Linked DNA regions of Arabidopsis thaliana. The protein of the gene in region 4 purifies or fractionates together with the protein of the main gene of each other region. This does not show direct contact. Each region holds a gene or a part of one and is shown on either strand. Other genes may lie near its edges. The genes, in order: AT1G16700, ATP3, MEE4 and GAMMA CAL1.

Region 1 (7,898 bases), on a different chromosome or scaffold from region 4:
TAGCACCGTCAAGTGTCCTGCAAAATAATATTCCACACTTTCAATTGAAGTGACATGATTGCAATTCAGTCGAACTAGAATCATAGACTATGATCAAAGCAACTAAAACCCAATAGCAAAACCAACAAAATTGTAAACAATTACGAAACAGACAACAGGAGGAGCAATAACCTTGAAATTGACTCACAAAGAAACAAACTTCAGCCGCAAAGAGCAAAACCCAGCAAAAAAAATCTTCCCCAAAAACGTTACTAAAGATTACGATGATCGAATCTTGAAAACGAAGTAGAACGGAGCAATAAAGTCGCTGAACAGCCGATGTCGCACGTGTGAACTCACACAAGCCAGGATAAAAAATAGGATCAAACACAAGTACGTAGACAAATCCCAGAACGAGATTCCTCCAAAACCTAGACGACGAGGAAATTGAAATATCGACAAATTATTTCGAAATCAGAGAAGTCTGAATTCTTCGATTTGGGGATTTTGATTTATTTTTTTTGGCTATTTAGGGATTTTTGGTTTTGATTTTGTAAGTAACAAAAGACACATTAAATAACACTTACCTTATGTTACTTATGTCTGAATACGAATCATCAAGGAACCTCTGTCAAAGTTAATTGGGGGAACCAAGGTCGACAATCCAACAGCCAAGGAGAAGTGTCGGAGATACATGCGCTCCTATCCGTCCGATCAAATGTTCCAGTAATTTAAATCTTCACACCCTTGTAGTTTTTGCTCTGTTTACTTTCGCAACTACTTTTTTTTCTGTACCGATTACCAAGAGTAACTAATAATAAACCATTCAAATTCATACATGTTCCAAGTCTAACCGGAAACAAATCATAACCGGTTTTACCATTCCTACTTTAGATCTTACAATTAGCAATACAGTAGCAATGGAGAAGGCAGAAGCGTTAGTATTGTATATGTTATCATCTTTTCCTTGTAACATAAGCAATGAAAACGTTTCCAAACAAGTCGTAAAAAGAACTTTCTGATAATCTTCATGGCTCAAGGCTCACTGACTTCAGATTCTCAGCAATCTCTGTCTCGCACTGATCTCTGTTCTCATTATCCTGCTCCAAACCAAAAAAATTTGGAACATCACAAAGTTCAGAATGTTTATAATATTACATTTCGAATTATACGCCTCTTAATTAAAGCTCGTGAATAATTCGATGTATGTAATGTACCATTGTGGGTTCAGCAGAGACTCCTGGAGTAGGTGTTATGGTTGTTCCAAGCGTAGAAGAATCAGCATGTTGGTGCTTGTACTTATTCAATTGCCTGCCTTTTATTAAGCTTGTCAAGCGAGATTCAAGAGTTGACGGGTTCAAGTATTCCTCCTGTGAGTTTTGAAGTTAAAAGTGTCAGAAACGAAAATATTTATAAGGGAGGACATATAGCAAACAAGCTGGATTCAGTGACAACATGTCAGAAGGCATCAACCAGTCTTGTTTAGTTAGAACTTAGAAATTCTCAGTAAATCAAATCCTAAATGCTTATAACTAATCAAGTAAATATAATTGATGTACCTTTGTCATAGCCATTTTAAAAAGTCCTTCCTCTAAGCGTTTAGCAGCATCTAAATGCTTCCCCTTTGATGCATCATCATTCGGAAGTGGGTTTCGCTTCTCTAACTGGACGAAGCTGGAAAGATTGGATGATCAGTTAATTTGAAACGTTTCCTCAAATGAGGTAACAACCCATCAAGAAACCCTCTAGTGTGGTTCGGAGATATACACGCAGAGAGGAAAACAACTATGAACACCAATGTGACAAGACTGGAATCCAAATAAGTAACATTTCAGTAGTAGAAACACTAATAGATGATATTGTTTCTTAAGAAACAAAGCAGAAATACATGATCACAGAGCCAAAAAGCAGTAATAAGTTAGATCATTCCCACTTTCCCAGACACATTAACTCAATCCGTAGTACAGCAGCAACTAACAGAGAAAAGGAAAAGAGTGCAAGAGGAACGAGTGAATGTGAAAAATTGAAGGCTTACATAGCGTCTCGCATGGACCGGCGAATCTGGAAAACATCATTGTCCATGGGAGCAAGTGTAACGTGAAATCCCTAAAGCAACACCAATTAACCAGCATAATCATAATCAGTAGTAAAACCAAGCATAAGCAAAGAAAGAAGATACATCTAAACCTCAGATGATAAAACCTAGGACTTCAATCCAACTTTAAAATTTGATACACAAAGAAAGAAGCAATCTTCCACCGCAAAGATCAGAGCCTAGTGAGGAAGATTCTTCCTTACGAGATCAAGAAAACGTAACCTATGATTACGATGAAGAAACAATGTCGCACGTCTAAACTCACGCAAGCCAGGAGGATAAGTAAAATGAGAAATCTCTGAAAGAGATCTTGAAACCGAGAAGTAAAAGAAGATGAGAAAGCGAATTTAAGACGAAATTCCAAATAGAGTAAGTTCCTGAGCTGGAGTTTCTGCCAATCAGAGGTTTTTACTAGATATGCAATTATGCATGTTCATGCCAGTCTATTAAACTACCATTTTACCCTTGTATTTCTCTGTATTTTACATCATTAATGTTCTCTTCAGATATTAGCAATTTTTTGTTAGACACTTGACCGACCGACACTGAGAGTAACAACACCATTGAATCATATCATAATCCATTTACCGCACGGTCCAGCTCAAACCGGAAACAAAGCCAAATTTGATTTTGCCATCGGTATGAACTCAAGAAATACAGATAGCAATAACAGTGCAAAGGCTGAAGCATCTTTATTTGTAACAGAAGCAAACGAAAACGTTTCCTTAAGAATTAGGCAAAAGGCATTTTCGGATCAATATTCAGCGGTAGAGGCTCTCCGACCTCAGATTCTCTGCAATCTCTGTCTCCCACCTATCTCCATTCTCAAGAAGCTTCTCTTTGTCATACAGAAGTTCCTGCACACCAAAAAGAATCAGAATGTCATTTATCGAATAATACACATCTAACTTTAAGATCATGGGCAATCTTATGTCTTTCTGAATTGTTTATACAGACCTCATGTGTCTCGGTTGCAAACTCAAAGTTTGGTCCTTCCACGATTGCATCAACAGGGCAAGCTTCTTGGCAGAAACCACAATAGATGCATTTCGTCATGTCGATATCATACCTGTACAGCTCCGAACAATCACTACACTACGAAATATATAGAAGAACCATAGAGACAAGACAGTATTAAATAATATATATATGGTTAATAAACGGGAACTTAGAGGGTGACCTAGTGGTTCTGCGGCTTCCATCTTCCCGCTCCTCTGCCTCTATTGTGATTGCTTGAGCTGGACATACCTGATGAGCAAAAGACCAGTATCCATGAAAAATCACACTTTATGTCAATATTGTGCTGTGGTATGAATTCTCGAGTAGCATAGACTTCAAAAACTCACAGCTTCGCAGAGTTTGCAGGCAATGCAGCGTTCTTCCCCAGTTGGATACCTTCGAAGAGCGTGTTCACCACGGAAACGAGGGCTCAATGGACCCTTCTCAAAAGGATAATTGATCTGCACAAAAGATAAAACTTGAGAATCAGAATATTTTTCTTTCAGCCTAATTACTAGAGTCAAGGGAGACAGCCACTCACTGTAACTTTTGGATCAAAGAAGTACTTGAGGGTCAGTGACAAACCCCTGACCATTTCAGTGAGAAATAGGGTGTTCATGCTCCGTTCAAAGACTGTAAAAGTAAGAAACATCAGGAATCGCTAAGACTCGCAGAAGGAAGTAATCAGGAAGGAATGCTAAGAGAATAGAAAGGTTGAAAAGTGTCTGGATCAAATAGCTTACCAGTACTCCAGTCCTTGGAGATCTCTTTAGCAAGCTGCTCAGCTTCTTCATCATCTACATATTACCAGAGGCAAAGGATTAGTAACCTATATTCCTGAAAAGTCATAGCCTAAATTAACCAAGAGAACCCAAATGGAAGCAACAAAATTTATACCTTTGTTGCTTCCATAAGATATAGCACGGGACTGTAGCCCACAGAGATGAGATCCCTGTAAACCTTGCCCTGAAAAAGCCTATCAACAAAGACAAGGTAGATGTTAAATGCGAGAAGAATTCCATAGCATAGCCACCAAAAGAGCTATTGAAAGTAAAAGTTAACTACCACGACGCTCTCAGTTAAAGTATTTATATTTGCAGAGATTGAGATAACAACATTTAGGCGATACATTCTCTCTTCAAGGAAGAGTATATGATCTAAAGGAAAAATGAAGCTTCACGATTGATGTACCAACGCAATACAAAGAGATGCATAGAGGAACAATACCCAGGAAAAAAAAAGACAAAAACATGTATAGCAGCACCACTTGCACATGCCTAGAGCCGGCCGGGGCAGACAATACCAACTAGTGATTTCAAAAAACTTAGCAGCAATTCCAAATTTCTAGGAATATAAGCGATATAAAATGGAAGAGCCTACGAGATTCTTACGAGATGTCGAGCTCGGAGAGCACTGAACGACCTGCGAGCTAGTAGCGAAGCCATCGATAGAACTCAAAATATCAAATTAGGGTCTCTCTTCTTCGATGTGCCTGATGTGAGAGAAGAAAATCCGATTAGCTGAAAAGCTTAATCAAGCAAAAGAAGCATTGAACAAGAGAATGACCAACGAAAAGCCTAAAATTCCATCCGAACCTTAAACGCGATACTCAAAAAAGCAAAGCTTCTGCACGAACCCAGAGAAAGTTCGATCTCACAAGAACATTGACACGAATCCTTTGCTGGTGATTCACGGTCGTCGGAACAAAATTCGATCAGATGTCTCTTAATTTACAAATTGACCCTTCTGGTTAACTACTTACTCAGCTCATAACCGGGCAATCAAACCGGTTATATTTGGTATGACAGTCAATTCCTTCCAAGTTTCACACATTTCAGGATCCAGGTTCTCAAGACGTGGACCAAACTAGACCATTGCTGAAAAAAGTTAATACCTGATCAATGGTCACTAACCGGACCTAAAGTTCACAAAGTAGCCGAGATTGATCAATAAACCGGGAAAACCAAAGACTACACAAAATTTAGAGGAGATACAAAGTGTTTTGGTGACAATCTTCACCACCACTGGGGAGGAACTAACGGGGATAACTCTTTACAATGAAGAAGAAGAAAACTAGTTGAGATGTTATGGTGCTATGTAGAGAGTGTTGCCACAGTTAATGTGGGCTTGGTTTAGAGGATTCCATCTATCAAATACAATCCGACCGCCTCTACCCATTCTTCCTTGAAACCGAGCTCTTCCACTTCTTGCATCTGATGGAGGGATGATTCCCGCAGCAGCCAGTTTATCGGGGACCAATGCTTTCGTGAACAGCATAACTGGCTCATTAGGATTCTACACAGAAACAACATAAACAGTGAACGTAATTCTCTCTTTTTTATCTTGTCACCAGAATGTAGTAACCTAATAGTCTCAAATGTTTCAAATACAGAGGTTCTGAAGAATTACCAGTTTGTGGAGCCATCCAAGTCTTCTCGCCTCTTGCTTTATGCTCCCGGCTTGAGCTCGAGCGAGGTTTGAGTCGGTGAAACGACGATGAGGGGTAAAGGAAGGCCTTGTACATGTTTGGGTGGTGGTCGGGTCATCGGAGTCCATGAATTCATCTTCGCTTGAGCCAAATCTGTAAGCTGTAGAGAGTGGAAACCCAGCCAGAGCCAAACTATCTTCCAAAAGTTCGGTTTCATTCTGCAAACATATCAAAACCCCACAAAAAAAATCAGAGGAGATCGAAATGCACAACTCTTTCTGGTAACAAAAGAACACTCGATGCAGGTTGTAGAGGACTACCTTATATTTCAGTTGGATTCTCTGAAGGCTAACCTCACTCGCCATGAAATCCCTCTTTTTCTCTTCTCTCTATAAAGATAACATGTTTTTAATCAAGTTAATACCTATGGAGTCTGCAGGTATCTCTTAAGATATCAATAAAATTACATTCAAGTCACAAAATATAGATGTCATTTAGATTACCTTAATAAGAGCTTCTAGAATGGTCTTTGCTTGGTCAAGATTGCGCCTGACCTAATAATAACATATCCCAGAACAGAAGAGAAGAACGTTTGAGAATCCAGGAATTATTTTAAGAAGTTAAACACAGATTCAGGTCTTCCCTTACCTGTCGCAGCTTCTCAAATGACTGCGCATTGTTTTCTCTCTGCTGCATCTGAAGTGAGGTCAACTATTGTTAGTAAGTTATGGTGCATTTTCCATACTCACACATGTAAGATAAGGAAATTGATAAACCACAGACAACAAGACAGCCTACTCTTCTTGCGTGTAGTCTATGAGCTTTCTCCCGTGGCCTAAACACATTGTACGGATTGGTATCATTGACCGGTGGTGGAGGCTGTTCCAAACAAAAAACACAAGAGTAGCTAATTTTCAGTACATTTCAGAATAAATTCATTTCTTCCACATGTAAGATTGAGACCAGTCCAAATGATATACCTGTAAACGCCGCAAGATAGGCTTCTGCCATATTTCACGCTAAAAGAATACAAAAGTCGAAGTTACTTAATGTTTTAAGCCTATGCCCAAAGAACCATTAACAACTTTTCATTAAAAAAAAAAAAATCAATTATCATCAAACTATACGACAACTATATCAAACCTTATTTTTCCAATAACTGTATATAGCGTGGAAAACTCCATATTTGATGGACAAATATTTCAGCGCCTGTAAAAAAAATGGAAATAGCACAATAAGAACAATGTAAATGTCCTGCTCTGCCTCTGAGTAATAACCCCAGGAGAACACATTCCTCTAGAGGAGGCAATATAATCACTATTACTAGATCTATGCTCCTGGCTCCTGCTACAGTTTTAGGCAGTGAGGAAAAGTATAATCACATCCTTTGGAAAACTGTCCCCGTTAAAAGATGGTTCACTATGATGAGAACTAGCCAATCAACCATCATCATTTTATTCCTCCTTTTGAGTTCCATAACCAAATATAAATCAAAATTAGATAAACAAAAGAAAATAAGTGTATACCTCACCAGCAGCATCAGGCTGCAAAAGCACTGGAACTGGCAAACCAAGGGTAGGAGTAATAACTCCAGCTCTTTCCCGCGCCTTATGATCCAAGACCTCTAGTTTAAATATAACGATCTCAAGCCTGTATCAAGTAATTAAGCATGATTACGGGTAGCAGGTTTTTGTTTTGAAACAAGAGAAAAGTTGAGCACTATCTCAACTCAATGTTAGGGGAATATCGGATATAAGTATAGAACCAATTCTTCTTTCAGTTTCCACTTGATCACATAGTTTTTGCACTATTGGCAAAATCCAAAATAAATTGAAGGCACCAGAGGAGAGACAGAAGAAAAATTTAGATTCTAGAGCTAATAGATCCATCTACCACACAACAAAGCTCATAGAAATGTGGATAATATAAACTATCTCAATGGTTAAAAATATGGAAAGCATGTTATAAACAAACAATTAACAAAATCTGAATAAGAGGTAGGAAACTTTACATTTCAGGTGAGAGAATCATTGTCTCCTTATTATACTCATAAAGCCAGTCATCATCGTCATTGTCAAGATCATACTCCACAAATTCTCCAAGCTCAGCCCGAGCTGCAAAACAGATTTTCATTTCCCATGTTGAAAAGATAACAAATGTTGAAGAGCATTTCAGGTATTAAAGGTTTACCTCCTCTAGCGCGTAAATATGAAGCAGGCTGATTAAAAGTCCTAGAGTAGTCTCTTTCATATGTATCAACAACAAGATACTGAGGTGTTGGGATTTCCGAAATCAGTTTCTTACTAGGCACTGGAGGCTGCACCTGATAATGTGAATACAAGAAACTTTTAATCATCACTCTACAACTTCACATCCAAACCGATACACCGAGAAAAA
Region 2 (7,986 bases), on a different chromosome or scaffold from region 4:
TAACGGAGGGAGTGCAACTCAAAGAGGCTATTGTTGGGATTCAGAGTTCCAGAGAAGTGATTATCCGAAAGGTCTAAAACTGCGAGCTTGCCTAGATTTCGCACCAGCGGGAAACTACCCATGAGATCATTATGGGAAAGATCTAAATAGGAAAGCTGACTTTAGTTATTAAATGAGGAAGGAACGTGACCTATAAAGCCATTAGAGAAAAGAGACAAGAGCTTTAATTTGTTGAGATTGCAGAACTCTGAAGGGAGCGAAGCAGAGGTGAAGTTGTTTCGATTGAGAGCAAGATAACGGAGCTGATGAAACCCGAAGAGGCTACTGTTTGACTTCAGAGTTCCACTGAGACAGTCCCTGAGTTGTAGCACTGTGACCGCACCCGTGGAGTTATCGCACCAGACTCCATTGAAGTCGTCACTGTGGTTGCAATGGCGGGTATCAAACTCGTCCTTGAACTGCATAAAGGCTTGACTCTGGCGGAGACGACAAGCAACAAGACCACCAACCGGAACTTTTAGAAGGAAAAAGCTCGAAGGGGAGACAAAACAGAGTAAGAGTAGCAAGAGAAAATGCAAAAGCAGAAGCGATTTAAACACGGTCTTCATGATGAGAACTATTTTAGGAAAATTAAATGATTATGGTTTAAGGAAAGTGAGAGAGAAGATTGGTATAAATAAACGGTATGTGGTTTTGCTTTGGAGCTACAAGTTGACTTAGAAGAAGTTAGAGCTAAGTGAAGTCTTTGAGTGGGAAATGAATCATAAAGTCTGAATACCAAATGCATGTGCATGTCACTATTTTTTGTCCAACGCATGGGACATGTTTTCTTGGAGTCAAAAGGTCCGAAATCAAATCCTAAACGACAAGGACGTCGTGGAAAATGTGTTATCTACTCTGACGAATAAGAGGAAATATTTATTCTAAACAAACCCAATTATGAACAGATCACAAAGAGTTTATGTCTATTAGTAGTACATTCTCCTGGTCTGAACATAATTTCGTTAACGTTGAAATATTTGATTAGAGGAATATATATGTGCCTAGGGTCTAGGGACCAGGTTCAGTGTGTGGAAAACGAGATTGACTAGTTTTTTTTTTTGTCGGAACTTAAGAATCCAAAAAGAAAGAAGAAGAAGAAGAAGAATTGTCTAGTCTAAAAAAACTGAATCTAGCGACGAACACACGTAGTTTTCAATCCATTTGAACTTAGAGTGTGAACGAAATCAAAAATTTACTTGGGATCCAAGAAAACACAGAAAAGGGAACATCTATCTTTTTCTTGTTTTTTTTTTACGCTCCGTATGATCTCACCGCCACACTTCAGTCTCAGTCTCGGTCCCTCTCTCTCATGCATTTTATTCATTAGGAAACAGATCTCATATGTTGCTCTGTTTCTCCCTCTCGTCTCCTTCCTCTGTTTCTTTATTTTTTTGTTTACAAAATAGAGAAGCTTGTTTTTAGGGGAAAAAGTTACTTTTACACGGAAATAGAATCCAATGATGAAAATAACAAGAACGGATTTCCTCCTGTGGGATAACAATAACAAGAGTTTGGATTTTCTACTTTTTATTGTCAGAGACCAAAAAATCCATAACGTGATTCCCGTTCCCGGCCTCTAGTATTTTTCTCTTCCAAGATACAGAGGAAAGCTGAATGAAGCATAGAGAACCTGCTTCACCACAAGACCAAGGAATACTTGACAAACATTCAAATATCATACGCAAAACAAGTAACAATTTGACATACATTCAAAAATCAAACACTAACAAATCTTAATGGTTTCTACGCTTATTAGGACCAATTATCTTGACGAGCCACTCCGGTTTGTATGAAGCAATGATTTGCGCTATTGCCAATCCAAAAAAAACTCCAGGTCCATACCCTGTTGCCACTGCTTTCCAGTTCAACACTTTTGCATCCTCTTGGTTGTCTTCTTTCTTTGACTGTTGTATTGGTGGCACTTTCGTTCCGAAGCAACTTTCTTCGAGAGGAAGACCACAAAGCCCTGCATTCCCTTCAAATGAGGATTTTGGTGGCCCAGTGATTTGTGTTCCTTGTGGTATTTCACCCTTGAGTTGGTTATGGGACACATTTATGTACCCCAAAAACGAGAGGGTCTTGAGTCCTTGAGGAATAGTCCCAGATAGTCCGTTTCTAGACATGTCTAATGATTCAAGCTCAATAAGATTGGCCATAGACATGGGAATATTACCTATGAAAGCGTTGTTTGATAAGTTGAGTGCAATCAGTGCCTTCAAGAGACCAATGGATTCAGGAATCTGTCCTTCAAGTCTGTTTCCGGAAAAATCAATAGCGCTGTATAAAGTAAGAATCCTCTTTTGCTCCATGTGTAGACCTTTGTATCTTAAATCTATAAAATCTTGATAGGTATAAGAAATGCTACCGTAAGCATTCTTAGTGTATATCATATATAAACCCCCTTCTTGATTTTAGCGTGAGTGATGATGCTTTCCAATTCTCATAATAATTTGGTGGCAAGCCTCCGGTAAATTTATTACCAGATATCTCAAATATCCGCAGCTCTGGATACCCTAGTGGACCTCGATCAAGAGGAGATATTGAGCCATAAAATTTGTTTCACATGATTGGATTCACATCAGTTTAAACTTTCTAACATCAGATTGTTTATACATAATTCCAAAATTCTAGAAATCCACTAGCATGACAACATACACTGCATTGGATATATTGTTTAGATTTGTTTGTGGGATTATTCAAAGTTTCAAACTTCAAAACCTGGCGAAGTGACAAAATATTGGCTCAGGTAAAAAAATATCAAATAAACCGGAGTACATGGTGTTTGCACAAAACAACACTACAGACTCTGGAGGAAGCGAGTCTGAATCAGAACAAAATGTTAATGCAATTATTCGAAATCCTGCTGGAAATTACAGGTATGTTTATTAAAAATCGTTGAGCAAACATTGGTAGGTCTCAACAAGAAGCCAGCAAAGGAAACTGATTCAGTAAAATTTTAACACACTCTTCTCCTTCAAGGTGGGGGTAAATATCAAAGCGAAGAAAAGAGAACTAACACGGATGGGCTTATTTAGCAGCTTCAAGAGCAGAAGCTCCAGAGATAATCTCAATAAGCTCTGTTGTAATAGAAGCTTGACGAGTCCTGTTGTATGTGAGGGTGAGACGGTCGAGCATTTCTCCTGCGTTTCTGCTTGAGCTGTCCATGGCAGACATTCTTGCTCCCATCTCACTACATGCATTCTCCAGAACCGCATTGAACATCACCTAGTAGAATTTACGTAAACAACCAAAATGTTATGTTTCTTTCTATGCTGAAATACCATAAATCAAGTTAAACTTTCTTGGTTACTTACACAAGAGAATTGGAACTCGGCCAGATTCTGCAATATTTCTCCCTTTGTTTCCCCACCTTCAATCTCATATGAGTCAAGCTCGCCAAGTTTTCCTCCAATTTCAGACTCCTTCTCAATAATCTTTCAATGCAAAACACACACATATACAATCAAGTTTATACTTAAAGCAGAATGTGAAATATTAAGCACAAATTGAGACGTTCAACAGTTATGACTTACCTCAGGTGACAAAACAGTGGACACAGTTGGCAGAAATGCGACAACTGAATGGAACTTGTTGTAGACAATGCGCAAAGCATCAAATTCAACGTTCTTCAGGATGTCATCAGCTAGAACTGACACCTGAAGCAGCAAGTAAACATAAGAAACACTATAGACAACAATAAATAGCTCGAGAACAAATGGATCGGGGAGAGAAACTATTGCTCCTAACTATTAGCAACTAAGAACTACCTGAGCATAATTGAGTGGGTTCTTATTCAGCTCTGTTACAGAGAGGACAATGTCGTTCTTTGAGTCACGAAACATTATAGCCTTTGCTTTCTCTCCGACAATAACAAACTGAACTTCCTTTTCAGGACCTGCAATGATATAAGAATTAATATCGGATATGCAATTCAGGAAAACTAAACCACGGAACCATCGTAGTGTTTTCAAACATACCAGCATTCAATTTGTACAGAGCCCTGCTCACTTTAACGACAGTGGAGTTGATTCCACCACAGAGACCCTTGTCAGAAGAGAGAGTGACCACCACACTCTTCTTTACATCAATGCCTGGTTTTTCCATCAAGTAACGCTAGAAATCAGAAACACATCCACAATAACAACAAGAGATAGCAAGAGGATGGATATCTCAGACTATAGTAAGAGCAACAGATTTGTTCGTCGTCATCAATATTCAATACCGATGCAAGCCCGGAGTGATACTAGAACAAAGTTATTAAGAAAAACAACTCTATATAGCCAACCATACTGGGATTATCTCCTAGAAGTGCAGTAAATGGCTGCCAAAGTCCACGGGAGTTCTCAGCTCGGCCTTGAACTGCTCTAAGCTTGGAAGCAGCAACCATCTTCATTGCCTTTGTGATCTTTTGGATGTTCTTAACACTCTTCATGCGGTTACGCACTGCACAGAGAATACATGTAAAGCAATTCATAAAGATTAGAACATCACAGATTTCTTAGAACACAATCCTAACTAGGTAAAACCAATCTCCAATTATCAGCTTTGACTTACCCACTTGAGTTGAGATAGATCGAACTCCAAGAAGTCCTTCCTCCCTACAAATCAAATACAAGTTTAGTCCTCATCATCCTAAATATCACAAAGTTTTGCAGGTAAAAGCTGATTAAATCTGACGAGCTTAGACAACATATCACAAAGTCTCTTCTACGAGGAAAATCAAATTGGTCTTGCAATAGGAAATTCAACGAAACGAGCTTAACAGGACATTTCCGAGTCTCAAAACTCCAAATAGACGAACAAAAACACCTCACTCATTAGCAGCTCCCGAGTCAAACAACACAATTTCCATAAATTTTCGTCGATTCGAATTTCAAGGAAATGAAAACATCAACGACTCAATTAAATCAAACGATTTCAAATTCAGAAAAGCATCACAGAGGAACAGCGAAATGTGTGTTTATACGCAAGGATAAGATGAATGAGAAAGAGATCTCACTGGTCAGAAGAGAGAGGAGATCGGATAGCAGCGATTGGGCGAGCGGCGATTGAAGGGAGGAGACGCCTCCCTTCGCGACGGAAAACAGCCATTGCCATTGATTAAAGGATTGATCGGTAAACAACAAAACCTAGCTCCGGCGAAATTTCTCAGATCGGATTATAGAGAGAGATTCGAGAGAGATGACTGCAATGGGCAAAATCAAGGGCTTCTTTATTTCTCAGTCTACACAGTAGTTTTGTCACGACGTCGTTTCCACTTTATTACCAAAATTTCCCCTGAAATTAATCGGGCCGAATAGAGGCTAATACTATTACTTTTTCGGCCCATCTTATAAGGCCCAAAGGTATCTCCTCAGATTATCAATCACGTCGTCATACACGTCTTGTTTCCTTTTACATTTTTGAGTTTTGACCATGACTTCTTCTTTCTCCAATCTATAACCAAATTAATGCGAGTTGTTTCATAACGCAACATACTCATAATAAATGAAAATTAAAAAAATATCAAGAGAAGGTAACATTTCACCAACCTATTAATTATTGAAAGGCCCACTTAATTTATTTTTCTGTATCTGTAAACAATAAGATACTATTAAACAGAATTGTCATCATCGTTACGTCATATTAATGTGCGTTCATTTGATCCAATGAGAGTAAATTGCTGAGTGTTGATTTCCTCTTGTTGCTAAATTTTGAAGCCAATTTTAACAGTCAACTATAACTCCCAGTTATATAGTCAGAGATGTCCACGTGGAATTTACTTCATGAACAAATGTGACTCGTAGACATTTCACGTGACATTTAAACCCCACATATTTAGTAAAGGCGGCTTAAAATAACATATATATAGCAAATCTTTGATATGTCTTTTTTTGGGTTCAATAATTTCCTCAACTTGTTGGTTCAATCACAAACACCATGCGTTTGCATTTTTGCTCGCTACTCTTACTCTACTGTATCGTCTTCGTTTCAAGCTTCTTGACGACCGACGCTCTTGCTTGTCTTCCTGACCAGATCCAAGCTCTAATCCAATTCAAGAATGAGTTTGAATCTGACGGCTGCAACCGCAGTGACTACTTAAACGGAGTCCAGTGTGATAACACGACTGGTGCGGTCACGAAGCTTCAGCTCCCAAGTGGTTGCTTCACTGGAACTCTCAAACCAAACAGTAGTCTCTTTGAGTTGCATCAGCTTCGTTACCTTAATCTCTCTCACAACAACTTCACTTCCTCTTCACTCCCTTCTGAATTCAGCAATCTCACCAGATTAGAGGTTTTGTCTCTTGCCTCTAGTAGCTTTACTGGTCAAGTTCCTTCCTCAATTAGTAACCTTATCTTGCTTACCCATTTAAACCTTTCCCATAATGAGCTCACTGGTAGTTTCCCACCTGTAAGAAACCTAACAAAGCTTTCCTTTTTAGACCTTTCTTACAATCAATTCTCAGGAGCCATACCTTTTGATTTACTACCCACTTTGCCTTTCTTGTCTTATCTTGATCTGAAAAAGAATCATCTCACTGGTTCTATTGATGTCCCAAACTCTTCTTCTTCATCTAAGCTAGTTCGTTTGTCCCTTGGGTTTAACCAATTTGAAGGAAAAATCATAGAGCCTATCTCAAAGCTCATAAACCTCAACCATCTTGAACTTGCTTCCCTAAACATAAGTCACCCAATTGACTTACGCGTCTTCGCTCCTCTCAAATCTTTGTTGGTCTTTGATATTCGTCAAAATAGGTTATTACCAGCCAGTTTAAGTTCAGATTCAGAGTTTCCATTGAGCTTAATAAGCTTGATTTTGATCCAGTGCGACATTATCGAGTTTCCAAACATCTTTAAGACCCTTCAAAACTTGGAGCATATAGACATTTCCAACAATCTAATCAAAGGGAAAGTACCTGAGTGGTTTTGGAAGCTTCCTCGTCTTAGCATAGCAAATCTTGTTAACAATTCTTTGACTGGTTTCGAAGGTTCTTCAGAAGTTTTACTTAACTCATCAGTGCAGTTACTAGATTTTGCCTATAACTCCATGACAGGAGCGTTTCCTACTCCACCACTCGGTTCGATCTACTTGTCTGCGTGGAACAATAGTTTCACAGGGAACATACCTCTCTCAATCTGCAACCGAAGCTCTCTCATCGTCCTTGATCTATCCTACAACAAATTCACCGGTCCAATTCCTCAATGTCTGAGTAACTTAAAAGTAGTAAACCTCAGGAAGAACAGCTTGGAAGGAAGTATACCTGACGAGTTCCATAGCGGTGCTAAGACACAGACGCTTGACGTTGGCTATAATCGACTAACCGGGAAGCTTCCAAAATCACTTTTGAATTGCTCCTCTCTGAGGTTTCTGAGTGTTGACAACAACAGAATTGAAGACACGTTTCCTTTCTGGCTGAAGGCGCTACCCAATTTGCATGTCTTGACTCTCCGTTCAAACAGATTCTTCGGCCATCTCTCTCCTCCTGATCGAGGTCCTCTCGCGTTTCCCGAGCTGCGGATACTTGAATTGTCAGATAACAGCTTTACTGGAAGCTTGCCACCAAATTTCTTTGTTAACTGGAAAGCATCATCACCCAAGATAAATGAAGATGGGCGTATTTATATGGGAGACTACAAGAATGCTTATTATATCTATGAAGATACAATGGATTTGCAATACAAAGGTCTATTCATGGAGCAGGGGAAAGTCCTTACTTTCTACAGCACCATTGATTTCTCTGGAAACAAACTTGAAGGACAGATTCCTGAGTCTATTGGTCTGTTGAAGGAATTGATAGCGCTCAACTTATCGAACAACGCCTTCACTGGCCATATTCCTATGTCTTTGGCAAATGTTACGGAGCTCGAGTCACTAGACCTGTCAAGAAATCAACTATCAGGGAATATTCCAAGAGAACTCGGGAGCCTCTCATTTCTGGCGTACATAAGTGTAGCTCATAACCAA
Region 3 (6,809 bases), on a different chromosome or scaffold from region 4:
TCAATTTCGCATAATCCATTAAGATTTAATATTATTATTTTATTTTTTTTGTCTGGGTCAAAACCACACTAAATTCTCATTTTACTGATTTGGATGTTTGTTTGGTCACATGACTTTTACACTGATTTCTTTGTTTGTTTGGTCAATAGTCAATGGGATAGTTACTATGTGAAGAAACCGTCGAGCCCTTGGAATACTATAAAATCAACTCCAAGAGCAACCTGAAAAGCCACATTCATAAATACAAACATCAAAATGGAAAAAGTTTCTATTGTTTGCTTCTTCTTCTTTCTTTTATTTGGTTCGGGTTATGGGGGCCTCCCACCGTTCTGGCGCGCTACGGTTGTCACGATGACAAACTTGATTGGCGGTCCACCTCTTACCATACATTGCAAATCCAAGCAAGACGATCTAGGAATTCACGTGGTGCCTTTCAAGCAAGAGTACCACTTCAAGTTTCAACCAAATCTTTGGAAATCAACATTGTTCTTTTGCAGTTTCCAATGGGACAGTCAATTCAAGTCGTTTGATATATATGATGCTCAGAGAGATCAAGGTATATGTGATGACTGTCAGTGGGAAATAAAACCTGATGGTCCATGCAGGCTCGGTAAAAAGGCGAAATGTTTTCCTTGGAAGTAAGTTTGTACTCCTGCGATGATGAAGATATATATATATATATATATATATATTCAAATTCAATAAAATCAATAAACAGAATATTTATGCATTTCTTACTATTTAAAGATTTGTTTCTTAAAGATACTCATTGACATCGGAATGCTTAGAGTAAGAAACAAACATATTTTGGTAGACACAAAACCGGAGTAAACCGAGAATTATTCGTTATCTTCACTGGTTTTCTCTCTTAAGGTTTGTTGTTGCATACTCTTCTCACTAAGGATGTCAAAATGGTTAACCCAATTCAACACAACTCATTACCAATGAGTTTAGGCTTCATGGGTTGACCCAACTCATTTTGTTAAATAGGAAAAGCAATTCAAACAGTTTGAGATATTTGATGCTTTCAGAGATCAAGATGTATGTTATCTATGTAATTGGACTGTCAAAGCTGATGGTGCTTGCAGGCTTGGTAAAGAGCATAAATGTTTTCCTTAGAAATACTTTCATATGACTGATTTTAATGAAAATTTGAGAATGAATAAGACAATATCAGAAATCCACATCACGTCAAAAAATAATAACATTTTTTGTAGACAATAAATCAAAACCGGATCAAACCGGATTATTCTTTATCTTGGGTGTCCAAAATGAGTGAAGGATCTTCCTTCCAGACAACATCATCATAAGAAAACGCTTTGGCTAAACAAGAAACCAACTGTTCATGAATCACTTCTTCTGAAGGAAGCAGAGTATCCGTCTCTCTTCGCAAAGATGTAACTTCTTTATCAGCAATCCCACAAGGCACAATGTGCTCAAAGTACTTCATATCAGGATCTATATTTAAGGCCAAACCATGACTAGTGATTCCAGAAGATATCCTAACCCCAATAGCACCGATCTTCCTATCCCCAACCCAAACCCCAGTCTCACATTTGTTTCCTGCTCGAGCTTTCACGCCATAAATCGAAGCAAACTCGATCATTGACCGCTCCAATGTCTCCACGTAGTTCCTAGCACCAAAACCAATGCTGCGTAAGGAAATGATGGGATATAAGATGGCTTGATGAGGGCCATGGAAGGTGATGTCTCCTCCTCTTTGAGTATAATGAAGTTCAGCTCCGATTTTTGTAAGTTCAGATTCAGGGATAAGTAGATTGTGATCGGTTCTACGCTTTCCGAGCGTATAAGTTGGTGGATGCTGAAGCGAGAGGAGGGTATCTGGAATCTGATGAGCTTTTCTCTCTGAAACTAATTTCTCCTGCAGTTTAAGGGATTTCAAATAGTTGACAGTGCCTAGCTTCCAAACCTCCAAGGTTCTAGGGGATCTCATTTCCTGCACATTAACACAGACTCCATAATTGATCACTTTATCTCTAACTACTTAGGTTATATAGGAAGATTCCAAACACGACCTTTTTTTCCACACAAACTTAATACTACTGATGGGGGTCTAAAAGCATGACTAACACAACAAAAAATTTCCAAAGGCAGCAAACCTAAAATTAGGAATAAAAATCTGAGGAGCTAGGATACAAACCCTATGAATAGTTTTTGGTACCAGGTCTTTGAGGTATTTTATCGAACACTTAACATGCATACACAAAGAAAAAGACACGGAGGATTACCGTAACCGATAAAAACCCATATAAATGATCGTATACATGGTACAAGAGCAAGTAATCGGTAAAGTAAGAGGCTTTGAAGAGCTAGATTACCGTTTCAGTTCTTCTCCTCCACCGAAGAGTTTGGACCTCAGAGATAGGTTCTCTCCAGATTAGAAATTTTGGATTTATTAAAAGCTTCAAAATTCAACGACTTTGCACTTGTACCCTTAAGTTTTCAATTTTCACAGAATTACGCCTTATCTAGAACATATCTCAACAATTCACACCCTCTTATTTTAATTCCAACATATAAAAACCCAGTGATTCAAATCGCAAACAATCTTTTCAGGGAATGATGCTGTTTCTTATCCCTTTGTATTTCAGAATTAAGAAAAATACAAAGATTGTACAATTTCAAAACTTAGGGGTCAAATTCGAAGGAAAAAAGGTCTAGAAAAGTTTCAGTTTTCCAATAGTTTGATCTTCTCAAGAGAAGTATTCATCTGCCTAATCTCCTCTTCAGACAAGCTTTTGCTACACTGCTCAAACTTCTCCTTGTCGCACTTCAAGGCTGTGTCTCTACACGCTCTGATGCAACCGCTAATATCGAGCAAGTTTAAGATCACCGGACAGTTTCCGATGCTTTTGACCAATGTGATTGCTAACCAAACTTGTCTGTGTTCTTCTCTTGATGATCTTACAATGCATAGCTTCGTGATTGGATTCACATATTTCACTTGGAAGGAACCGAGAGACGAACCTAGACCACACTCGCCGAAATTGACGAGGATACTGTCTTTGATTGCTTTCGAGAGATTGAATTGTGTAAGAATGATCGGTGTTCCTTCTCCGAGAAGATCCTTGTCCGGATCCAGAAAAACTTCCATTAACATGTATCTGTTCTTAAATCCCACCATGCTTCTTCGAATCTCCTCGATTTGATGATACCAAGTCGGCGGCTAAAGATATTCTGAACATGTAGTTAGGGCATTTTATATGTAAGAAGAAGAAGAAGATAATCACGTGACTCCACGTGACTTGCTTACTTATGGACTTGGGTCTTTGAACATATCTGAAATGGGCTTAGTTATAGCCCATTTCATCTCATACGACTCCGTGATTTGCTAACTAATGGGCTTAGTTATATGGTCCTAGCCTAGTTAATCTCCAACGTTCCCTTCGTTGTTCATCGGAATCCCTAGAACACTCGATTTCAGCAAAATCAAATCGGATTCAGTGATCAAAAGTCAATTTGGTCGAGAAGAAATTGAGCGTTGAAGATGACGGAGGCGATGATAAGAAATAAGCCAGGAATGGCGAGTGTGAAGGATATGCCGCTGCTTCAGGATGGTCCGCCACCGGGTGGGTTCGCACCGGTCCGATATGCCCGCCGGATATCCAATACGGGTCCTAGTGCAATGGCCATGTTCCTTGCCGTTTCTGGTGCCTTTGCTTGGGGAATGTACCAGGTCGGCCAGGGAAACAAAATCCGCAGGTAAGAACGACTTGTAATAGCTCGTTCACATTTCAATTTTTCCTCTAAAATTCGAGATCGCCTTGGTAAAATTAGTGTTGTGGAGTGATTGATGACCATAGTAATGTAGTGAAGGATACATTTTGGTTAATAATTGTTGAAACTTGAGTATGTTTATCGTAGGAATTGGTTAATATTATTAACCTATGGAAACATAGGCTTGTTGAATCACTGTTATGTATTCTGTTATTAGTATTCCCCGACATTTTGGTTGAAGCTTAATCAGCATGAGTTTAGCCTTAAACGAATATAAAGTTCGTCAACAATTTGTAAACTCTTAAAGCCACAATTGCAAAGATGTGAGAATCTGTTATGATGAAAGCAATTATCTAGTTGCATGTTTTGATAGTAGTTATCGGGATACTGTTTCTATGTAGATAGATTGTTTTAGTATTATATCTGGCTTGATCATTAACTTCTTATGCATTTACAATGGTCCTAAACAAGTCTGATTTGATATCAGTAAGTATCAAGATTAATGCTCTTATCAAGATTGATGTGATGTTTAGGGCATTGAAGGAAGAGAAATATGCTGCTCGTAGAACAATACTTCCCATTCTTCAAGCAGAAGAAGATGAAAGGTAAACCATATTCTCAAATTTAAGTCAATGTGCCTGCAGCAACCTTCAGATAGCAATCTTGTTTCAATCCCCGTTTTGCATTCTAGGTTTGTGTCTGAGTGGAAAAAGTATCTGGAATATGAGGCTGATGTAATGAAAGATGTTCCGGGATGGAAAGTTGGCGAGAATGTGTACAATTCTGGTCGCTGGATGCCTCCGGCTACTGGGGAACTCCGTCCTGATGTGTGGTGATTTCCTAGTTTCTCTCAAATGCATATGATGATGATGAATGATGTTTCGCTGAGGATTGATATGTTCTTGTTATATCTTTTTTTCTTCGGGTAATAAGAGAATGATTCAACAGACAGTATTCTTCTTGTATTGGTTTTCTCTTAAGTGTTTCAATCGTAATATGAGGCAAAAACAGTTTCATGATTCATCAGCAAGCTGCAAGAAATTGGCTTATTTGACAGCTCCAGGTGAAAAATATTCGAAAAAGCTTACCGAGTGAAATCGAACCAAATCATATATAATTATATGTGAATTTAATATCCAAAACAATAAAATTTTGAAAACAAGAGTTCTTGAAAATGAAAAAAAGAGTAAAACCTTTTCAGAAAATAAATAAAATTAAATGCTAAATATAGTACATGAAAATGAGAAAAATATGTTAGATTTGTGAAATCGTTAATGACCATGGTTAAATGGCGGGATCCAAAATCCGGTTAGATTTCACAACGTCATATTAATTTAGTATTTATAAAATCTTTTAAAAAAAAGAAAAAGGAAAAAAAAAGAGAGTTGAAAACATTTTTAAAAAAATAAAATAAAAATAATTAAATGCTAAATATACATGAAGATGTGAAAAACATGTTGGATTTGTGGAATCGCTAATGACCACGGTTAAATGGCGGGATCCAAAATCTGGTTAGATTTCACAACGTTATATTAATTTAGTATTTATTAAAACTTTTAAAAAAATCAAAAAAAATTTGAAAAACTTTTAAGAAAAGAAAACAAAAAATAAATGCTAAATATACATGAAGATGTGAAAAATATGTTGGATTTATGGAATCGCTAATGACCACGGTTAAATGGCGGGATCAAAAATCCGGTTAGATTTCACAACGTCATATTAATTTAGTATTTATAAAAAACCTTTAAAAAATTATTTATTTAAATGTTTTAGTGAAAGTTTTAGTTTTGGTTAAAATAATTTTTAAAGAAAAGAAGAAAAAAAGTTAGAATGAAGAAAGTCCTAGTGTAACGAAGGCCTCATACAGCAAAGCCCATTCCAAAGTCCTAGTGTAGCTCTGTCGTAACATTATCCACCAATTTTAGGTCAATTTTGTAAAACTAAACTACAAGATCATTCCATGGGAAGCTTCTCTCCGATATGCAAGACAAGACGCCAAAGAATGGCAAGATGCAGAAGAGTACACCCACCGTTTATCATCAAAACCTGACAGAGTAACGTCACAAGAACCAACAGCTAATCTCTGGACAACACCCCCTATTGGTTGGACGAAATGCAACTATGACGGCACTTACCACAGCAACGCTCCGAGTAAAGCGGGTTGGCTCTTACGGGATGATCGAGGAACCTTTCTAGGTGCAGCTCATGCTATAGGCTCTATTACTACCAATCCGATGGAAAGTGAACTCCAAGCTTTAGTCATGGCCATGCAACATTGTTGGAGTAGGGGCTATAGGAAAATTTACTTTGAAGGTGACAATAAAGAAGTCTCAGAGATTGTCAATGGTCGGTCTTCAAATTTTGCAGTTTTTAATTGGATAAGAGATATAAGCGCTTGGAGATCAAAATTTGAAGAATGCAAGTTTACTTGGACAAGGCGATTTTCAAACATGGCTGCAGATGCTCTGGCAAAACAACAACTTCCTTTGAACACTCAGTTTTATTGCTATAACTATATCCCGTTTGTAATAACTGATTTTTTACATCGCGACTTTGCTACAGCAAATTATTAATAAAGCTGATGTTTGAGGAAAAAAAAAAAAACTACAAGATCAAACCCTAGTTCCTCCGATGAAATTGCGGTTAGAAAACTAAATATTGATTGACCTAATTCAAAGAGACCTTTTTTGTGCAGAAACTAAATATTAAAAATCCAAGGTTCCAAGAGATCAAATAGGAATTTAAGCGAGAAGCAACATACCTGAGTCTCGTGACAACGGCGCGTGGTTTGCGTCAATACTTGGGACTCTCGGTGAGATCCGCCATGATTTGCTAGAGAGATCGTGAAACGCAAGAAAACAGAGAGACAAACGGTGGCGAGATCATTGATGGTGTGATCACCGAGTTACAGTTCCGACGGTTCTGACGGTGGTGAAAATGGATGGTGATCATCGAGCTTTGACGTTCTCGTGATCGGTGAGTTCTTTTTGTAAGAGAGGAACAGAAACAAACAGAGGCTAAAAAGACAAAAGAAGAAGAAGAAGGTGGATTTTTTGTTTTCTTCTCGTAAT
Region 4 (7,332 bases):
CTACCTGAAGTGTTTGTCCCCCAACTTTTTTCAACACCTTCAACAGCAGCAGCTATTGCCTTACCTTTCTCAGCAGCCCTCTCCATACGAGCAATTGCATCATACAAACACTTTGCTATATCTAATAAAGCAATAACTTCGCCATTTTCAACAACCGGCAAATGTCTGAATTTTCCTGCAGTAGGTAAGGTTAAGATATAGCCTCATTAAGGATCTAGACACAGCAATCAGATAAACATCAAGTTTCTCTAGCTTAAAAACAATGAGACAAACCTTGGACCATCTTTTGGAGAGCTTCAACAGCAAGTGTTTCTGAGAGAACAAACATTGGGTTCTTCGTCATAACCTTAGATACAGGTGTTTCCTCGACATTAAGTTCCTGTGAAATCACTCTTGTAGCTATGTCCTGAAAATCCAAAAAAGACACACATACACACAGATCAATGAAGTCTCCATTTCCTTCTTCCAATCTGTTTCTAACTTTTTAACTACACTTAGCGAATAGTGGCATACCTTATCAGTAAGAATACCACAAAGCATTTCATTAGAGTCAGTCAACAACAAGGCATCAACTCGTCGTGAAGCCATCCTTTTACAAGCTTCATATATAGTTGTTGTTGCTGGTACTGTAAGTGCTTTCGATAGCCTTAACCGTTTCACAGTCCGCTCGCCTCCTGTTAAACCCCTGCTCCATATACAGATGAGAGAAAAAAGTTAAAACCAAATCACAATAGCTTCAATGGAAAAGAAATAAGGTAAACCTGAGGAGCTAGATGTTCTCTATGAATTGAATACGAGCATAAACTAGGGTTTATATATAAGATTGAGACCCAGCTGAGACTTACAAAGGAGAACGAGAAACAGTAAGAGATCTCCGGCCAGTATCGAGACCTCGTTCGGCCATATCCATGGATTTCTTCTTTCCGTGCAATGACGCAGTCGTAACGGATAAGCTCCGTCTTGGCCCGCCTTGGCTAGCCATATCTACTGTATGATATAGAAAAAATCAAACCCTTGTAATCGTCAACGCTTACGAAATGATTACCAAAATTCGAATAAGGAAAGTTTTTCTGGAATCGAAACTAAACAAAACGCCAAAAAACAAACACTAATAAGAATCAGAAAACTCGTGAAATCAAAGCTATTACCAGGCGGATTCGTCGGGTCAACAAATGGATTCTGGGATTGAAAAAACTGAGCTACACCAAGTTGGGATTAGTTCCGTTTCGTAGATGCTCTCTTCTCTCCTTTCTCAAAATGTTCGTGAGACAGATAACGGCAAGAGAGAAAACGACGATTTGTGAGACGAGAAAGATTACAGAGATTCTCCCGGGAAAGTGACGGGAAAATGTAAGAAAATTAGAAAGCAAGAAATATTCTGTGATTTTTCTCTCTGAAAAACACGTTTTATTTTGCGATTTTCACCCAATCGGATTCTTTGATTTCGATGCTCTGTCGAATTGGACGATCGCTACCTTTTTTTTTTTTGGTCTTTGCTTTTTTTTTTGGGGGGGCAATATATTGATTTCTTATATCTGGTTATTGACACTTATATCCTCAATATTTGAGAACTATGACAAGTGGATCAAAGATTTGTTTCTCATTTGGCAAAGGGTTTTATCGTCATTAGCTATTTATGGTCATTATTACACACGAGTTGATACTTTTTCTGGATTTTATTTTTTATATGTTGATTATTGGATTTGCCTTTTACTCTTTCTTCTTAGCATTTGGATTTTTTTTTTTCCTTTTTTTTGGACAAATTGGATTTCGTCTAAGACAGAAAATTCAAACTGATTTTTTCTTAAAACAGGTTAATTTAATTAGGATATTAAAAGTTCTGTGTTCTATCTGGATAAAAACGTGTAGACTAAAAACAAAATGAAAATAAAATATCCATTCTGTCTCATTTTCAGTTTCTTACAATGTATTTAAGGATTTGTTCCATCCATGGTTGTGAAATCTGTGTGAACCAAAAAAAAAAAAAAAAACAGAAATTTTAATATTCAAACTTTATATTAATTGTTGAATATTTCAATGTTAAAAACAGTGAAATGAATCAATGTCACAACAGTTTTGACCAAAAGGAAAAAGAATTGGTGTCACAACAATTTTGACCAAAAAAAGAAAAGAATTGAGGTCACACTCACAACAATAGTCAATAACCAAAGCTACTTTAGCTTCATGGATATGGACCAAACATAAGTTATGAATTATAATACTGGGCCGAAAACTCAAAGCCCATATGTATAAGATTCACGTTGTTCGAAATCTTTTCCCACTAAACAATAATTTTATAATTAAACCTAAAGTATGTCCACGTGGATACCATCAATTGGTTCACCACAGCATTAGCTTTCACATCACACGAGAAGCTTCGTCTCTAACTAAAACCAAAAATACTCCAGCTCCTTCACCACTCTCTATTTCTCTCTCCAAATTCATTTCTTCTCTCTTTAAGACAAGAAGTTATGGCGGATTGGGGCCCAGTGTTGATCGCCGTGATCCTCTTCGTAGTTCTATCGCCGGGGCTTCTTTTCCAGATTCCGGCGGGAGGTCGAGTTGTCGAATTCGGTAATATGCAGACGAGTGGCGCTTCGATTCTCGTTCACGCCATCATTTTCTTTGGTCTCATCACTATCTTTACCATCGCCATAAACGTCCACATCTATTCCGGTTAACTGTTTAGCCAGACAAACCGGTGCTGCTTGGTTTTATTTCAATTTGATTGTAAGGTCTGGATTTGTTTTGTTTGTAACATTTTCGGATTTGTGAATATAATCAAAATTTCACCAAATGATACAACATCCAGTTTTGTTTTTGAATCTGGTATCAATCTGTAGAGTTTGTTTGGGATCTGGTTTAATTTGGTTTTCAAATGCTACTTGACACCTAATGTACATCCACCTAATAAGTGAAACGACGACGTTTTACTATTATTGGGCCTGTGGTCCGTTAAAAAGCCCAATATGCTGTATCTCGTTTAATTTCAGGTGAATCTTTCGACGACCACTCTCTCTCTTTTCCTCTTTGCAAATCCTTGAAGAAATCCAAAATCCATAGCAATGGCGACTTCGATAGCTCGATTGTCTCGGAGAGGAGTCACTTCTAACCTGATCCGTCGTTGCTTCGCTGCGGAAGCGGCGTTGGCGAGGAAGACAGAGTTACCTAAACCGCAATTCACGGTGTCGCCGTCGACGGATCGTGTGAAATGGGACTACAGAGGCCAACGACAGATCATTCCTTTGGGACAGTGGCTTCCGAAGGTAGCCGTTGATGCTTACGTGGCACCCAACGTTGTGCTGGCTGGTCAGGTCACAGTCTGGGACGGCTCGTCTGTTTGGAACGGTGCCGTTTTGCGCGGCGATCTCAACAAAATCACTGTTGGATTCTGCTCGAATGTACAGGAACGGTGTGTTGTTCATGCCGCCTGGTCTTCCCCAACAGGTTATTGCTTCCTTCCTTCCATTTTCAAAAAAAATTGTGTTCTGATTATCCAATTTTTTGTATGGAATCAAGACAATGTTGATTGGGATTTAGGGGTTTTCATTGTCCATTTTCAGTTATGAAAAGCTTATTGAAGAGTCGAGAACTTATATGGACAATTAAGTAAATTGGTTCTGCATAATAGTGTTCTCTCGAGTACAGATTTTCTTGCTTGAAGAATCGTCCAGTGAACTGTGGCTGTGGCTATTGTTCTTACTCTTTTGAGCATAATGAGTTTTAACTTCGCCGATTATGTGTGTGGAAACGTGTTGTTCTTTAGGTGATTAGCATTACAGGAATCAAGAAACTAACTGAAGATTGAGCTTAATATTGAGAGTTGAATAGATTAGCGTAGTACCACACACGATCATCTTGTGTAGTAGTAGGAAGTTTCTTAGCAGAAATTTGGGAACAATGTCTCGATAAAAGGATTTTGGTTTTTTTAATGACTTATGCAAGGATTTGGTTTTCTGGTCACTCGTGACTGGAAGTGGGATGCAATGGTGATAAAGCTGTATCACATGGATGTGAACTTGTTTTTGCTCCAAGGTTTAGACAAGGGAAGTTTTCAAGTAAAAACATTTGAAGAGTGACCATTCTGGTTTGATAGGGTCTGCTGAATTTTATTTGACCCGGAACAGTATCTATTCAACTTGTCACATTGATGAAACTATTTGTTTATCTTTCAAGGCTAAATTTATATCTTGGTTCTTTTTTTACATCACAAATTTGATTCTGGGGTATCTATTTTAAAATTTCAGGATTACCAGCAGCGACAATAATCGACAGGTATGTGACAGTAGGTGCCTACAGTCTTCTGAGATCATGTACCATCGAACCAGAGTGCATCATCGGTCAACACTCAATACTAATGGAAGGCTCACTGGTTGAGACCCGGTCAATCTTGGAAGCGGGTTCAGTTGTGCCGCCAGGAAGAAGGATCCCATCAGGTGAACTATGGGGAGGCAATCCAGCAAGATTCATTAGAACCCTAACCAACGAAGAAACCCTAGAGATCCCAAAACTCGCTGTAGCCATCAACCACTTAAGCGGAGATTACTTCTCTGAGTTCCTACCTTACTCAACTGTCTACTTAGAGGTAGAGAAGTTCAAGAAGTCCCTTGGGATCGCCGTTTAGAAGCTTCATCTTTTTCGTGATTCACTTTCATGTGTTTATCTATCATATGAGGTCTTTCTCTCTGCATATTGCAATAAGTAGCTGATGAACATCAAAACAAGTCCGGCTCTCTTTTTTGGTTCTAAAACGTTTGTCATTTCGTTTTTTGGGTTCTTTGTAAAATTCCATTTAAAACTGATTTTGGCTGAATATTGTCTGAATGATAATGGCGACGACTTCTGGTTTTGTTGTTGTGAGCAATTAAACAAAACAAATAACTAAACTAAATGGTTTTTCGTTATTTGGGATCACTAAAAGGAACATTGTGTAGAAGAATTAATTATACAGGACTTGTGACGTTTTATTTGACAGAATGAAGAACGTAGGTCAAACTAAAATTATGTAATGGAATTTACTCAATATGGGTTACATTTTGAAAATCTTTAAAATTCTTCCGTTGCTTGTAGGTTATAAACATATAACTCATGTCTAATTAATTCGTAAATCAACACCCTTTTGTTCTCACTCTATAAATTCAAAGTTCCTGCACATAACCAAATCATCAAAGTGAAAAGAAGCAAGAAAAATAAGAAAGAGATAAGATTAATAAGAGATGGAAAGCAAAGCAAGAGTTATTGCCTCCTTAGTCCTAGTTGTAGTTAACTTATCATTCTCTTAATAAGCATAAAACAAACAGACACCTTAATATTAAGATGTATACGAGACAATAAGATATACCGAACTATAAACGTGAAGAAATCTTTGGATGCTCACTTCTTTCTTTTCCTCTCCCTCCTCCAAGATTAAGCTGCGTCCGATTTCACCATCGCAGAATATACCGCCAAACGGTAACTCCGGGAAGTTCTCTAAAAACGGTGAGCTGTCTGCGTTTGGACAACCAAAGAAGGAATCACCGCGACAGCTACCGACGAAAGCAAAACCTCCAACGACTTCCGGTTTATTCGGCTTAGACTTGAGATTTCTAAGTTGAGCAGAAACATCATTTAGTGCTGCTTCAGCCACTTTGAGATCAGGGAGGTATACTTGGAATTGGTCGCCGGTTTTGATTCCGGCACCATCAACTAAAAGATCCTGATCGTCAGATCTGAGTAAGCAAACCAAAAAAAAAAAAACTTAGATGGGTCAAAAGGGACAGATTCATGTTATGATACTTGTTGATCCGATCGTTACCCATTCACTTGATGAAATACAAGGGAGGACATGATTTTTGGCTTCTCCTCCAAACCAATTGAGTATTTTCTACGTTTTATTACTCCGAGGTATGAATCATTCTCCCAGATATAGTTTTCTAGCTGCAAATTTCAAGTCAGTTAAGTAACCAAACTGATTTCAGGATTAGATAAAAGATTGGCTTCAGATGCTTACAATATTATCTATGTCATCTAGAATTTGATCGCCATCAAGAACCTCTGCTTCTCCTCTTCTTTTGGCAGTCAGAAGCGTCGAAGGACAACTAGGGCCGAGGCTAACATTGACATTAGCCGCCTTGTACCTCAGATCAACCGATGACATTCCATTTGATATTGCAGTGTCAAACTGAATTCTTTCAGCCTCTGCTTCATTTAGTTCAACAAGTTGAGTAAAATGAAAAGAAGAGATTTTAATCGGAAACACATAACCAGCACAACATGAAAGAACGATGCTGAAATATTTAACCTAGCATAGTAAAGATAAAGTGTGTCTCTCGATGTACTGTAGTTTTTTAAGAAACTAATATTAAAACCACGGAAACTTACGAGCAGGTCTGTGTCTATCTCTTGCAAATATTAAGCCAGCGAGAACTCTGATATCATCTTTCTGCAACTGAACATTTCTTGGTTCATTACCACGTTTATGTAAAAACTCGCCAATTTGACCACCCACAATAACAGTCTCAGCAGGCATGGCATAATCTGCAATGCAAACAAGCTTCATTAACAAGTTTTCAGGCACCGTAATTTCTATATATTACCAAAATGGTAGTTATGTTTTTCAGATTCTAGCCAGAGCAAAATAAGTGAAAATAAGAGGTAGGCAACCTAGACAACCAACCAACAAAATAAAAATGTTTCAAGAAATATTTGTTTTGTCTTAATAGATTTTTTCACTTGTCACGAAGTAACATTGAAAAGATGTACCATAAGGCAGTACTCATACCCAGTTTGTGAAGAACAGGTTCTGTGGCATGAGTATCCTCCTACAAATTCACCAATGAAGCATGAATAGACAAGAAAATAGTCATAAAACTGAATATAGTCCAAAAGTAAAACAGAAAAGGAAGCCAGAGAAGTAGAGTTCACCGCAAAGAGTATAAGACATGCTGGTGCAGCAGCATGACCTGAAACCATGGACATATAATTTCTAATATCCATCACAAATTTGTCTTCCATTTCTGCTCCAGATTCCTGCAAAAAAAAATAGTAACAAGCTGTTCACTTAAATTGTCTTCTATTATGACCTCATTTCTTTAAATGTTGTAAGCAAATGAATCAAATTCACTGGAAACAAAAACAATCTAGCCAGTGGACAAGCTTATGAAAGAAAATCACCATCGAACCAACCAACTAGATAGTTTTATAATTCAGAACATTGATGTAGTGAATTATTACCCCTTTAGCCTGAATTACAGGAATAATGTCGACTTTCATTCCTGGTAAGTAGCCAATCGTCAACAGTATAGCAAAATTTGCAACATCGAACAATTCATCATCACTTGTGGAATGCAGTCT

Evidence for each region.
Region 1: the proteins of GAMMA CAL1 (region 4) and AT1G16700 fractionate together in Arabidopsis thaliana (co-fractionation; one large-scale study listed by BioGRID). This does not show direct contact.
Region 2: the proteins of GAMMA CAL1 (region 4) and ATP3 fractionate together in Arabidopsis thaliana (co-fractionation; one large-scale study listed by BioGRID). This does not show direct contact.
Region 3: the proteins of GAMMA CAL1 (region 4) and MEE4 fractionate together in Arabidopsis thaliana (co-fractionation; one large-scale study listed by BioGRID). This does not show direct contact.

Annotation. Positions count from the first base shown.
Region 1 is NC_003070.9:5,706,632-5,714,529, reverse strand, and holds AT1G16700 (Alpha-helical ferredoxin), read right to left. Parts: upstream 4,907-7,898; 5' UTR 4,669-4,906; intron 4,566-4,668; 5' UTR 4,519-4,565; coding exon 4,465-4,518; intron 4,050-4,464; coding exon 3,971-4,049; intron 3,871-3,970; coding exon 3,817-3,870; intron 3,707-3,816; coding exon 3,615-3,706; intron 3,535-3,614; coding exon 3,421-3,534; intron 3,323-3,420; coding exon 3,255-3,322; intron 3,144-3,254; coding exon 3,032-3,143; intron 2,932-3,031; coding exon 2,836-2,931; 3' UTR 2,487-2,835; downstream 1-2,486. Other genes in the region: AT1G16705 (p300/CBP acetyltransferase-related protein-like protein), read right to left, coding at 1,008-1,082, 1,197-1,349, 1,539-1,653, 2,015-2,061; AT1G16690 (Enhancer of polycomb-like transcription factor protein), read right to left, coding at 5,159-5,368, 5,483-5,719, 5,822-5,890, 6,005-6,055, 6,150-6,197, 6,300-6,380, 6,482-6,520, 6,645-6,710 and 3 more. UniProt on the Arabidopsis thaliana protein: Core subunit of the mitochondrial membrane respiratory chain NADH dehydrogenase (Complex I) that is believed to belong to the minimal assembly required for catalysis. Complex I functions in the transfer of electrons from NADH to the respiratory chain.
Region 2 is NC_003071.7:14,015,909-14,023,894, forward strand, and holds ATP3 (gamma subunit of Mt ATP synthase), read right to left. Parts: upstream 5,278-7,986; 5' UTR 5,140-5,277; coding exon 5,042-5,139; intron 4,641-5,041; coding exon 4,597-4,640; intron 4,486-4,596; coding exon 4,333-4,485; intron 4,134-4,332; coding exon 4,020-4,133; intron 3,938-4,019; coding exon 3,810-3,937; intron 3,699-3,809; coding exon 3,576-3,698; intron 3,477-3,575; coding exon 3,357-3,476; intron 3,268-3,356; coding exon 3,070-3,267; 3' UTR 2,702-3,069; downstream 1-2,701. Other genes in the region: RLP24 (receptor like protein 24), read right to left, coding at 1-142, 191-608; RLP25 (receptor like protein 25), read right to left, coding at 1,776-2,432; RLP26 (receptor like protein 26), read left to right, coding at 5,962-7,986.
Region 3 is NC_003070.9:1,287,686-1,294,494, reverse strand, and holds MEE4 (GRIM-19 protein), read left to right. Parts: upstream 1-3,382; 5' UTR 3,383-3,508; coding exon 3,509-3,723; intron 3,724-4,271; coding exon 4,272-4,343; intron 4,344-4,429; coding exon 4,430-4,574; 3' UTR 4,575-4,674; downstream 4,675-6,809. Other genes in the region: AT1G04645 (Plant self-incompatibility protein S1 family), read left to right, coding at 256-642; LIP2 (lipoyltransferase 2), read right to left, coding at 1,247-1,954; EMB1687 (ribonuclease P family protein / Rpp14 family protein), read right to left, coding at 2,690-3,145; AT1G04625 (Polynucleotidyl transferase, ribonuclease H-like superfamily protein), read left to right, coding at 4,675-4,801, 5,707-6,263, 6,575-6,664.
Region 4 is NC_003076.8:25,420,989-25,428,320, forward strand, and holds GAMMA CAL1 (gamma carbonic anhydrase like 1), read left to right. Parts: upstream 1-2,978; 5' UTR 2,979-3,065; coding exon 3,066-3,447; intron 3,448-3,977; coding exon 3,978-4,058; intron 4,059-4,247; coding exon 4,248-4,624; 3' UTR 4,625-4,883; downstream 4,884-7,332. Other genes in the region: AT5G63490 (CBS / octicosapeptide/Phox/Bemp1 (PB1) domains-containing protein), read right to left, coding at 5-175, 274-406, 514-685, 846-982; AT5G63500 (transmembrane protein, putative (DUF 3339)), read left to right, coding at 2,472-2,681; AT5G63520 (F-box/LRR protein), read right to left, coding at 5,312-5,708, 5,795-5,916, 5,990-6,177, 6,361-6,516, 6,761-6,800, 6,904-7,008, 7,213-7,332. UniProt on the Arabidopsis thaliana protein: Involved in complex I assembly in mitochondria and respiration.